Linked DNA regions of Neurospora crassa OR74A. The protein of the gene in region 1 binds, or shares a complex with, the protein of each later gene. Links are inferred from orthologs where the notes say so. Each region holds a gene or a part of one and is shown in the gene's direction. Other genes may lie near its edges.

Region 1 (4,115 bases):
GATAAGATTACTCTATTCGAGGTCTCTTATAGCAAATAGAGAGAGGAATGCCCACTCGCAAACGGGTTCGGTACTTAAAATGAACAGAGATACGCAAGTTCGCATCTGAAAAAGTGGACGGAGAAGGAACTTATGCCACTCTACCGAGTGGTTGTAGCAAATGCAGAATCGACCCGCTATAGGTTTAACTTCTCCTAGGATGTAGTTTGGGAGGCACGCCCAAACTATAAAAGTGCTAAGGGGTAGGAAGGTTCGAATCCTGAGTTCCCACCACCATGGGTGGCGTGCCTCGAGAAGGGGGCGTGCCTCTGGATAGCTTGCGCTTATTTTTTTTTTTAGCCGTCCCCCCGCCCTGCAGTACTGCAGGGGGGGGAAGCTAAAAAAAATTAAAGAGGTGGCCAGAGGCTAAAAAAAAAAATGCTAGCTTTAGCTAAAAAAAAAATAACCGATAAACCAAATTTTTAATAGCATATATAGACGACTAATTTAATTATATTAGTCTGAGCGGAGCTAAGCTGTGCGGATTAGGATTAGGATTAATCCTAATCGTACTTAATGATTATCTTTAATAATATGAAATAAATATGAATATTTATTTCACCATGTAACATTAATAATGTTAATGTGTGATTTAATTTGGTACGTATCACGTAAGGGGAATGATGGATGATACATTATGCTATGTAATGATGTAATGTAATGTAATGTAATGTTATATCCACTATGTACTGCAAATGTAATCATCTGATAGATAATATAAAATGTAACTTAATGTAACTTAACTTAATGTAATGTAATGTAACTTAATGTAACTTAATGTTATGTAACTGTAATGTAATATTTTGTAATGTAACTGTAATGTAACTTAATATAATGTAACTGTAATGTAATATAATGTACAGTAATGTAACTGTAATGTAATGTTACATTACATGTAATGTAATGTAATGTATTGTAATGTAATCTTTATATGTAATGTACTAAAGATTACGATAGCTAGCCAGTTATATACTGGCTAGCTATCGTATGATTATTGTAGCCATTAGGGATAGCCTAATGGCTACTTGATTATCATTAGATATACTGCAACAGCAGTAAATACACTGTTGTCGGGAGCCTCAGTGGTATTTGCTGCTTTGCGGTGGTGGAATTGAAGAGGTTACTAGATTCTAGTTAATTTTTGATTCCACCATTGTATATATAATGATACAAGTAGCTAAAATAATAGGAACAGGGCTAGCTACCACAGGTTTAATCGGAGCTGGTATAGGTATTGGAGTTGTATTTGGCTCATTAATAATAGGGGTTTCAAGAAACCCTTCGTTAAAAAGTCAATTATTTGCATATGCAATTTTAGGTTTTGCTTTCTCGGAAGCGACAGGATTATTTGCTTTGATGATGGCTTTTTTACTTCTTTATGTTGCATAGTAATGATAGAGATTAGGAATAAAATGATGTATGGCTGCTTAAATAAAAAATATGGCTGCTCTTCCTGCTTAGCTAGCTAGCTAGCTTCGAGGGACCCCACGAATACGGCCCACACACGAAGGTGTGTGGGGTATTCGTGGGGGGCCCCCTCCTACTTCCTGCCTACGAAGTCTAGGCAGGCAGGAAGCAGCCTTAATAATTTAGCTAGCCATAATATCGCGACCACCCTCCTCCACTCAACCCCCCCCTTGGCGGCCCCCATCTTTCCCCCGCCCTGCAATACTGCAGGGGGGCATAATTAAATGTGATGGGGACCTTGAGCAAAGGAGGGGGTACGCGAGTGGAGGAGGGTGGTACTTTTTTGGGAGGGAAGCTGAGCGAAGCTGAGCGAAGCTGAGCGAAGTGAGCGAAGTGTGCGAAGCTGAGCGAAGGTAATTCATTTTTTTGGGCCCCCGCCCCGAAGGGGGCGGGGTCCCCCGAAAAAACAAAGGACGCTAGCGTAGCCTAACCTTATGAGCAGCAGGCTATAAAAACCCATTAGGCACAGGGTATACTTCGTTAGTGGATAAGAATTAGCCTAGCCTTAATATACAATACAGTTTAATGTTATATTTAAATTCTATATTTTATGAAAAGATATAATATATTTATTATTATGGTTTAATATTCAATATAGAATATTCTATTTCTTTTTTTATGGGATTATTATTTAATAATTTAATTATGAATTTTGATGCTCCAAGCCCATGAGGTATCTATTTTCAAGATAGTGCTACTCCTCAGATGGAAGGTTTAGTTGAATTACATGACAATATTATGTACTATCTGGTGGTAATACTATTTGGTGTAGGATGAATCTTATTATCTATAATAAGAAATTATATCAGTACAAAATCACCAATTTCACATAAATATTTAAATCACGGTACATTAATCGAATTAATATGAACTATTACTCCAGCAGTAATATTAATATTAATTGCTTTCCCTTCATTTAAGTTGCTATATTTAATGGATGAAGTTAGTGATCCTTCAATGTCAGTTTTAGCAGAGGGGCACCAATGATATTGAAGTTACCAATATCCTGATTTCTTAGATTCAAATGATGAATTTATAGAATTTGATTCATATATAGTACCGGAATCCGATTTGGAAGAAGGAGCACTAAGAATGTTAGAGGTGGATAATAGAGTTATCCTTCCTGAACTAACACACGTTAGATTTATCATCACTGCAGGTGATGTGATACATAGCTTCGCTGTTCCATCTTTAGGTGTTAAATGTGATGCTTATCCTGGGAGATTAAATCAAGTATCTGTTTTTATTAACAGAGAAGGAGTATTCTATGGTCAATGCTCTGAAATCTGTGGTATATTACACAGTTCTATGCCTATAGTTATAGAGTCAGTATCTCTAGAAAAATTCCTTACTTGATTAGAAGAACAGTAAGACGATAAAATAGTTTTTGGCTAAATAAAGGAACTCGGGGGACCCCACGAATACGGCCCACACACGAAGGTGTGTGGGGTATTCGTGGGGCCCTATGTATTTGAGTATGAAGCCATCTAGTGGTTATCTCTCCCCCCCTCCCCGCAGGTTTGCGGGGGGGGAGCGAGGGGGTAGCGATAAAAAGTTTCTAATATGAAGAGGATGACTTATGGAATTAACTCCACTCCCCCCCCCCTTAAGGGGGGGAGTGGAGTGGAACGGAATTAACTCCACTCGCTCCCCCCCCCGCAGGTTTGCGGGGGGGAGCGAGTGGAGTGGAACATCCGGGAGGTGGTGGGTTATATTATAAACAATATTCGGGGGACCCCGCCCCCTTCGGGGGCGGGGGGCCCATTAACTGGAAAGCACCCCCCCCTTAAGGGGGGTGCTTTTAATTATTATTATTTTTATAGGTTAATTAGGTTTAAAAGGCTACCCGCCCCCCCCCCTGCAGTACTGCAGGGCGGGGAAGGGTTAAAATAACAAGCAAGTTCCTGAAGTCTGGCGTAGCCTAGCGGAAGGAACCTTGCTTAAATCCAAAAACCTTTTAAAGAGTTACCAAGACTGAACCGGGGGCTAGCCCCCGATTAGGTAATTAATAAGTTTATGTATATCTAGTAAGGGTATAACTCTAATCCCCCTGCAGTACTGCAGGGTGGTGAAGGGGAGGGGCCGGCAGCGGAGCATGTGTATAAACCTACGAACTTAAATCGGGGGACCCCACAACTTCGTTGTGGGGACCCTTTTAATAGATCGATTTCATCGAATAAAGATTTAAGTTCTAGGTTCAGTTTATGGTAGTCATCCATTACTAGCCCCTGCAGTACTGCAGGGGAAAGGTGGTATTTAAATATTTTCTCCCCCCTGCAGTACTGCAGGGCGGGTGAAAGGTTTCCCTTAATTTTCGGGGGACCCCGCCCCCTTCGGGGGCGGGGCCCATTAACTGGAAAGCACCCCCCCCCGCCCCTGCAGTACTGCAGGAGGAGAGGGGTGCTTTATTTGGGTTAAAGATATTTGTAGTTCTAAATAAATATGATAAAAGTATTTTATATACTTTTATCATATCGGTGGGGTACCCTTCAAGGGGGGGGCTAGGCCCCCGTTAAAAAAGGTAAAATTATACATTTTTATACTTTTATCGTAAAAAAAATAAATAAATATGATAAAAGTATTTTATATACTTTTATCATATCGGGGGT
Region 2 (4,611 bases), on another chromosome or scaffold:
TAGTTGTAGTGTATGTGACGATGCGTTCTGCAGTGAGCTAGCTACAGAAAGACCTCCAGCACAAGATATTACTGGCGGCTGCAAGCGACGAATTGCTTCCCTGAGCTTGGCGATCGTCGAGAAGCTTTCCCGTCCCGTAGTTCACCGTCCGACGCCAATTTTCCTCACAGAGCCCACAAGCCCAGCGCTTCAGAGAGCGGCAAGAGCGGGAGAGCGCTACATGTAACGGCGGGGCCGGACGCTCTTCTGTAGCCATGTTTCATGATTAGCAGCGCTTGACCGTTGCGGGGAAAGCCTCATCCCCGCCCCCACAGTTCTCAACTTCTCGTGAGCGCCCGTCATCACACGCCTGTAACGCCCAGGGTTCAGGTCGGTCTGGGCTGCCCCGGGACGAACCCTTTCCCTTCCGTGCCGCGTACCTAGGCACCGAGTGCCCCCGAGAGCCCCGAAGGAGAACAACGCCCCGACGACCATGATCTTCACCTCATTTCATGTACGGTCAGAACAAGATGTTCGCAAGAAGACCGTAGCTTTTTACACCGCACGCCACAGAGTCTTCAACGGCGCTTCTACCCCCGGAGCCCTGATTGAGTGCATTGACGTGTTTGCTCCTTTTGGTGGCTGACGGGGCTGCTTGCACCTGGCAAGACATTAACTGTTACAGAAAGAAACAGGAGAAGCAGTTTGCCCCATCTTGATCAATGCCCTCGTAGATCAAATCGGTGCTCGACGTTGGGTCTCATGGAAAACGATGGGTTCTGTGAGTCGTTGTCATTTTTAAATTCTGAGAGGACGAAGAAATGGATGAACTTGCAAGAAATCAGAGACCCGGAAACTGCGTTGCGGGGTGATGCACTGACCACAACCAAGTGCCACGGTACATACCACCCTGCAGTCCTCTTTATATAAGTCTTGCAAGCACCTCCACAACATCAGGCGGACTGGCCACGCATCGGACTGATAATCAGTATAACCATGAAGAAAACGGCGAGCTTGGGAAATAACCAACCTGATTCTACACAATACGATAAATACTCGAGCTGACGGGGACGGATTACGAGTTCTCAGGCTCTGCTATCCTTCACATTCTGTCACTTGAGTCTCGAAGCACCTGCCCGAGACAATATCACCAAAGAGAATTTGCAAATTTGACTGACAACGTCTACAACGACTGTTTCACCAGGTGACTCCAAACAACAACTACGAAGCCGCCACAGTCCTGACGACGATACAGCTTTGAGGTGTCTCGCAGTCCGCCAAAAATTTCATCTATCGGTCTTGATTACGAACAAACTGTACATGTAGGTGTCCGCTTCGTTTGACCACCTCGATCTCTGGTTCGAATCCCTTCGATCCAATCGACAACAAAAATCTGTTTCTGAGCAACACCGCCAGTTGCAACTTTAAGAGTACAGGTGTCTCAGGAGTTCAGCCTCTACACCAGATGAAAGAAAATGGACTTTGAAAGCTGGAAGAACCTGGATATGAACACCGACACATGGTGATACTATTTCGGAATACATTTCCCGTTCATGGTTGGCCATACTAGCGACCTCCAACTCTCAAAATGAGCAGGCGTGTACACAGTCGGAATATCATCCATAGCGGACTCGGAAGGTAAGGATGCGCAGGGACACCAATTTTGAAGGATGCTTTGTGGTTGAACCTTATAATCCAACGGTTCTGAGACCTGGAGAGAGCGTGTAGTATTGGAAAGACATGCACAATAATGTGCATCTTGCCATAAAGTTGAGAAACGATGGACGTCATCGCGACTGGAAAGGCTGCCACCTTATCGATAAGTTCAACGCAGTGCTGCCGCTCCCCAGCCTTACGTAAGCCCACCACATACTGTGGTCGCGAGCGAAAGTAAAAACCCCCCTGTCAGGTACTTTTTTGCACGGACACTATGCGTTTAGTACCTACCCCACTTAATTAAACTTACCCATCACACCAAGTATGAAGGGAACGGTCCGTGATCCAAGATTTGCCGAAAACCCGCAGTTGCCGGCGCTCGCAAGCTTCCGTTCAGCAGCTGCGTCATCACGTGATATGAAGCTTGCAGCTCCCGTGCAGCGAAACCTCAGGTCATCCATTCGGGACAATCTTGAAGCTCCATTTTGAGAGAAGAGAGTTCCAAGCCGTCAAACCGCGCACCCTTCGCTACGATCCGCCCTTTTTTTTCGCAACCACTCAACCGAAACCAGCCCTCTTCGTCAAAATGGCCGCCACCGCTGTCAGACCCATCACCGGTGTACGTGATTTCCGAAGCCTGCGCAAAGAGGACGATTCAATGGCTGTTCGCGACGATGGATGACGGAATTGCGCAATGCCACCAGCGCTCGGGACAAGCTGGACTGGAATACAGGAGGACTAGGGGCTGACTGTTGGGTTTACAGATGCTCCGCCGGGGCCTCATCCTCGACATTGGCATTGCCCTCGGTGAGTTTGGAATTTCTGAATGATAAAAGAGGTGGTCTCTGAAATAAGGCGAAGACGGGAGGCGGGACACGGCGATGTGGAAGACAGAGCAAGAGCTAGGTCGAGCTTCGGCCGGCCGGTGGGCCGTGAATTGGCTACGCGCGCCAGTTACCTAGGATTGCCCACGGTCTCTCGTGCTGTCACCCCGCCATACCGACTTCCCGGAAGCCACCTCCTTCGTTGTTCTTTACCTTTCTTTATCACAAGTTCCCGATCAGCTGACCCTTTGTTTTCTTACTCTTTCAGGTGTCGGCTTCGTTATGGCCAACGGCTACTGGTACGACATATCCTCGATGAATCCTTGACTTTAGTTTGCACGCGACCCGAACCGAAGACGAACTCGCAAACAAATCTCCCGTGCCTTGACTCCGCGATGACTAACCCCTTCCATCACCCGCAGGTACGGCTACCACATGCCCCGCACCAACGCTCGTGACAACTACTACAAGAAGCTCGAGGAGGAGCGTGCTGCCCGCATGGGCGCCTAAATCGATCTACGGACTGGGCGACCGATGATGAAGAACGGAGACGACCTCGATCGATCGCGGAGATGAAGAAGTAACGCAATACTTGGAGCGATACCTGAGGAGGGGGAAGAAGAAGAAGGAAGAAGGAAGACTTGCATGTTGTATATCTACAGATGAAGACGGATAGACAAACATCGGCAATCGAGTCAGCCCGACCGATACGTATTCCTTACTTTCTCTTCTGCCTTGTGATAGACCATTTATAAAGGCCAGATGGTGGCCGGGTATTTCATAGACGGGACACGACGGGACGATGCAATGCAAAGCAACTAGAGATTAAGAACGGGATCCTCCTCGTTGGACACAAGACCAAGAAATTGTAAAAAGATGGGTATCAGAATAAAAACATCACTTTCTGTTCCACCATCTATCCTCCTTGTCGTCCTCTCTGCCCCATGTGCGATGATCGATCTGCTGGTGCTGCTCCTGCTCGGCCAATGAGCTTTTGTTGCTGGCCGATGTCGCTTTGGCTGCTGCTGCTGCTGCTGCTAACGATGACGATGATGATGTCGTTGCTGCCGCAGCCGCAGCCGCGGTGCCCTCCCAAGCCGTTGTCTCGACCGTAAAAGGCCCATTTTTGTCCCGGCATCTAGATGGTTTGGTTCCCCACGTCAATGTCAATGTCAACGTTTCCTTTTCCCTTTTTCTTTTTCCCCTTTTCTTCTAAAAATGCGACAAAGGGAATTTCCCCTTCCTAAAAAAGACATACCTGCGAAACAAGCGCTGCACTGGCCAACACTCAATCTGGCTCTCCCTCAACTCCGGGTCGCGCACCTGGCAGTCATACTGCAACAGACCAAAGAGCTCGCAATCCCGAAGTAGATCGATTCGTCGTCGACCACCGTCTTCCGTCTTGCGAACACGCTGATCGGGGCCGACTTGTATGTGGGTGGGCAAAGCCTTTGCTTTGAAGCTTTGACACGGCGGCGTCATTTTGTCTGTTTGTCTGTGGTGTCGTGGAAGGAGGGGTACTACTTGAGGTTTGGACGATGCGACGCGACTCGGAAAACAGTTCTTGAGGAAGAGAAACCCGCGAATCCGCGATGCAGAGGGCTGCTGTCGCTTCGGTCGTTGGGGCGCGGATGTTGAACGAGATTGAGGAGGGGAGTCTTGAAGAGGTAAGGTATGCTTTAGCTGATTGATGATCGATCGTCGTATCCCTGGATTCTACGCTTTTGTACAGGTGTTCCCGCGCGGGGCTCACTGGTGTCAATGGTTTTCGTTTGTTTGGGTTGTTGGAGAGAACTCCATGGAGGAGAGATGCCATCACGTAATTCCCGTCTTCCACCTTTTTGGTCCTTATCGCTGATACATGGTAAAAGTAGCCCACGCGCGGCTGTCCGGACGACGCGGTTTCCATTCTTCCCAACTTCCACTTCCCGTCTTTTCTCTTTCGTCGATAACCAAGTCATCATCATGGCTAACGATTTTTGTCGCATCACCATCACAGCTTCTAACATCGCTTCGCACAAACTTCACAACCCTCGCCAACTCCGACTTCAATGACCATGCTGCCACCCATGATGACGCCGACACCGACCACACCTCCTCCCAAAAGCTGGTGATCGCGCCCACAACCACAACCACCAAACCAGAACCGCGA

What was found.
Region 2: the proteins of NCU16028 (region 1) and NCU05816 are in contact, whole or in part, in a cryo-EM structure (PDB 7Z10), measured with the Saccharomyces cerevisiae proteins. The link is inferred for Neurospora crassa OR74A from reciprocal best matches to the Saccharomyces cerevisiae genes COX2 and COX9. Residues at the interface, in NP_009326.1 of Saccharomyces cerevisiae: Cys23, Tyr24, Ser28, Ala29, Thr30, Glu34, Leu37, Glu38, Asp41, Asn42, Met44, Phe45, Leu48, Val49, Gly52, Leu53, Trp56, Met57, Thr60, Tyr65, Phe88, Gln212, Arg213; in NP_010216.1 of Saccharomyces cerevisiae: Ile10, Arg13, Asp17, Ile18, Leu20, Gly21, Phe22, Leu24, Gly25, Gly26, Met28, Ala29, Ser30, Trp32, Trp33, Phe36, His37, Lys40, Arg44, Phe47, Tyr48, Leu51.

Annotation. Positions count from the first base shown.
Region 1 is NC_026614.1:57,405-61,519, forward strand, and holds NCU16028 (cytochrome c oxidase subunit 2), read left to right. Parts: upstream 1-2,124; coding exon 2,125-2,877; downstream 2,878-4,115. Other genes in the region: NCU16027 (ATPase subunit 9), read left to right, coding at 1,204-1,428. UniProt on the Saccharomyces cerevisiae protein: Component of the cytochrome c oxidase, the last enzyme in the mitochondrial electron transport chain which drives oxidative phosphorylation.
Region 2 is NC_026507.1:3,921,959-3,926,569, forward strand, and holds NCU05816 (hypothetical protein), read left to right. Parts: upstream 1-1,980; 5' UTR 1,981-2,221; coding exon 2,222-2,254; intron 2,255-2,399; coding exon 2,400-2,442; intron 2,443-2,727; coding exon 2,728-2,758; intron 2,759-2,881; coding exon 2,882-2,969; 3' UTR 2,970-3,338; downstream 3,339-4,611. Other genes in the region: NCU17277 (hypothetical protein), read right to left, coding at 3,357-3,597, 3,718-3,941; NCU05817 (hypothetical protein), read left to right, coding at 4,052-4,126, 4,459-4,611. UniProt on the Saccharomyces cerevisiae protein: Component of the cytochrome c oxidase, the last enzyme in the mitochondrial electron transport chain which drives oxidative phosphorylation.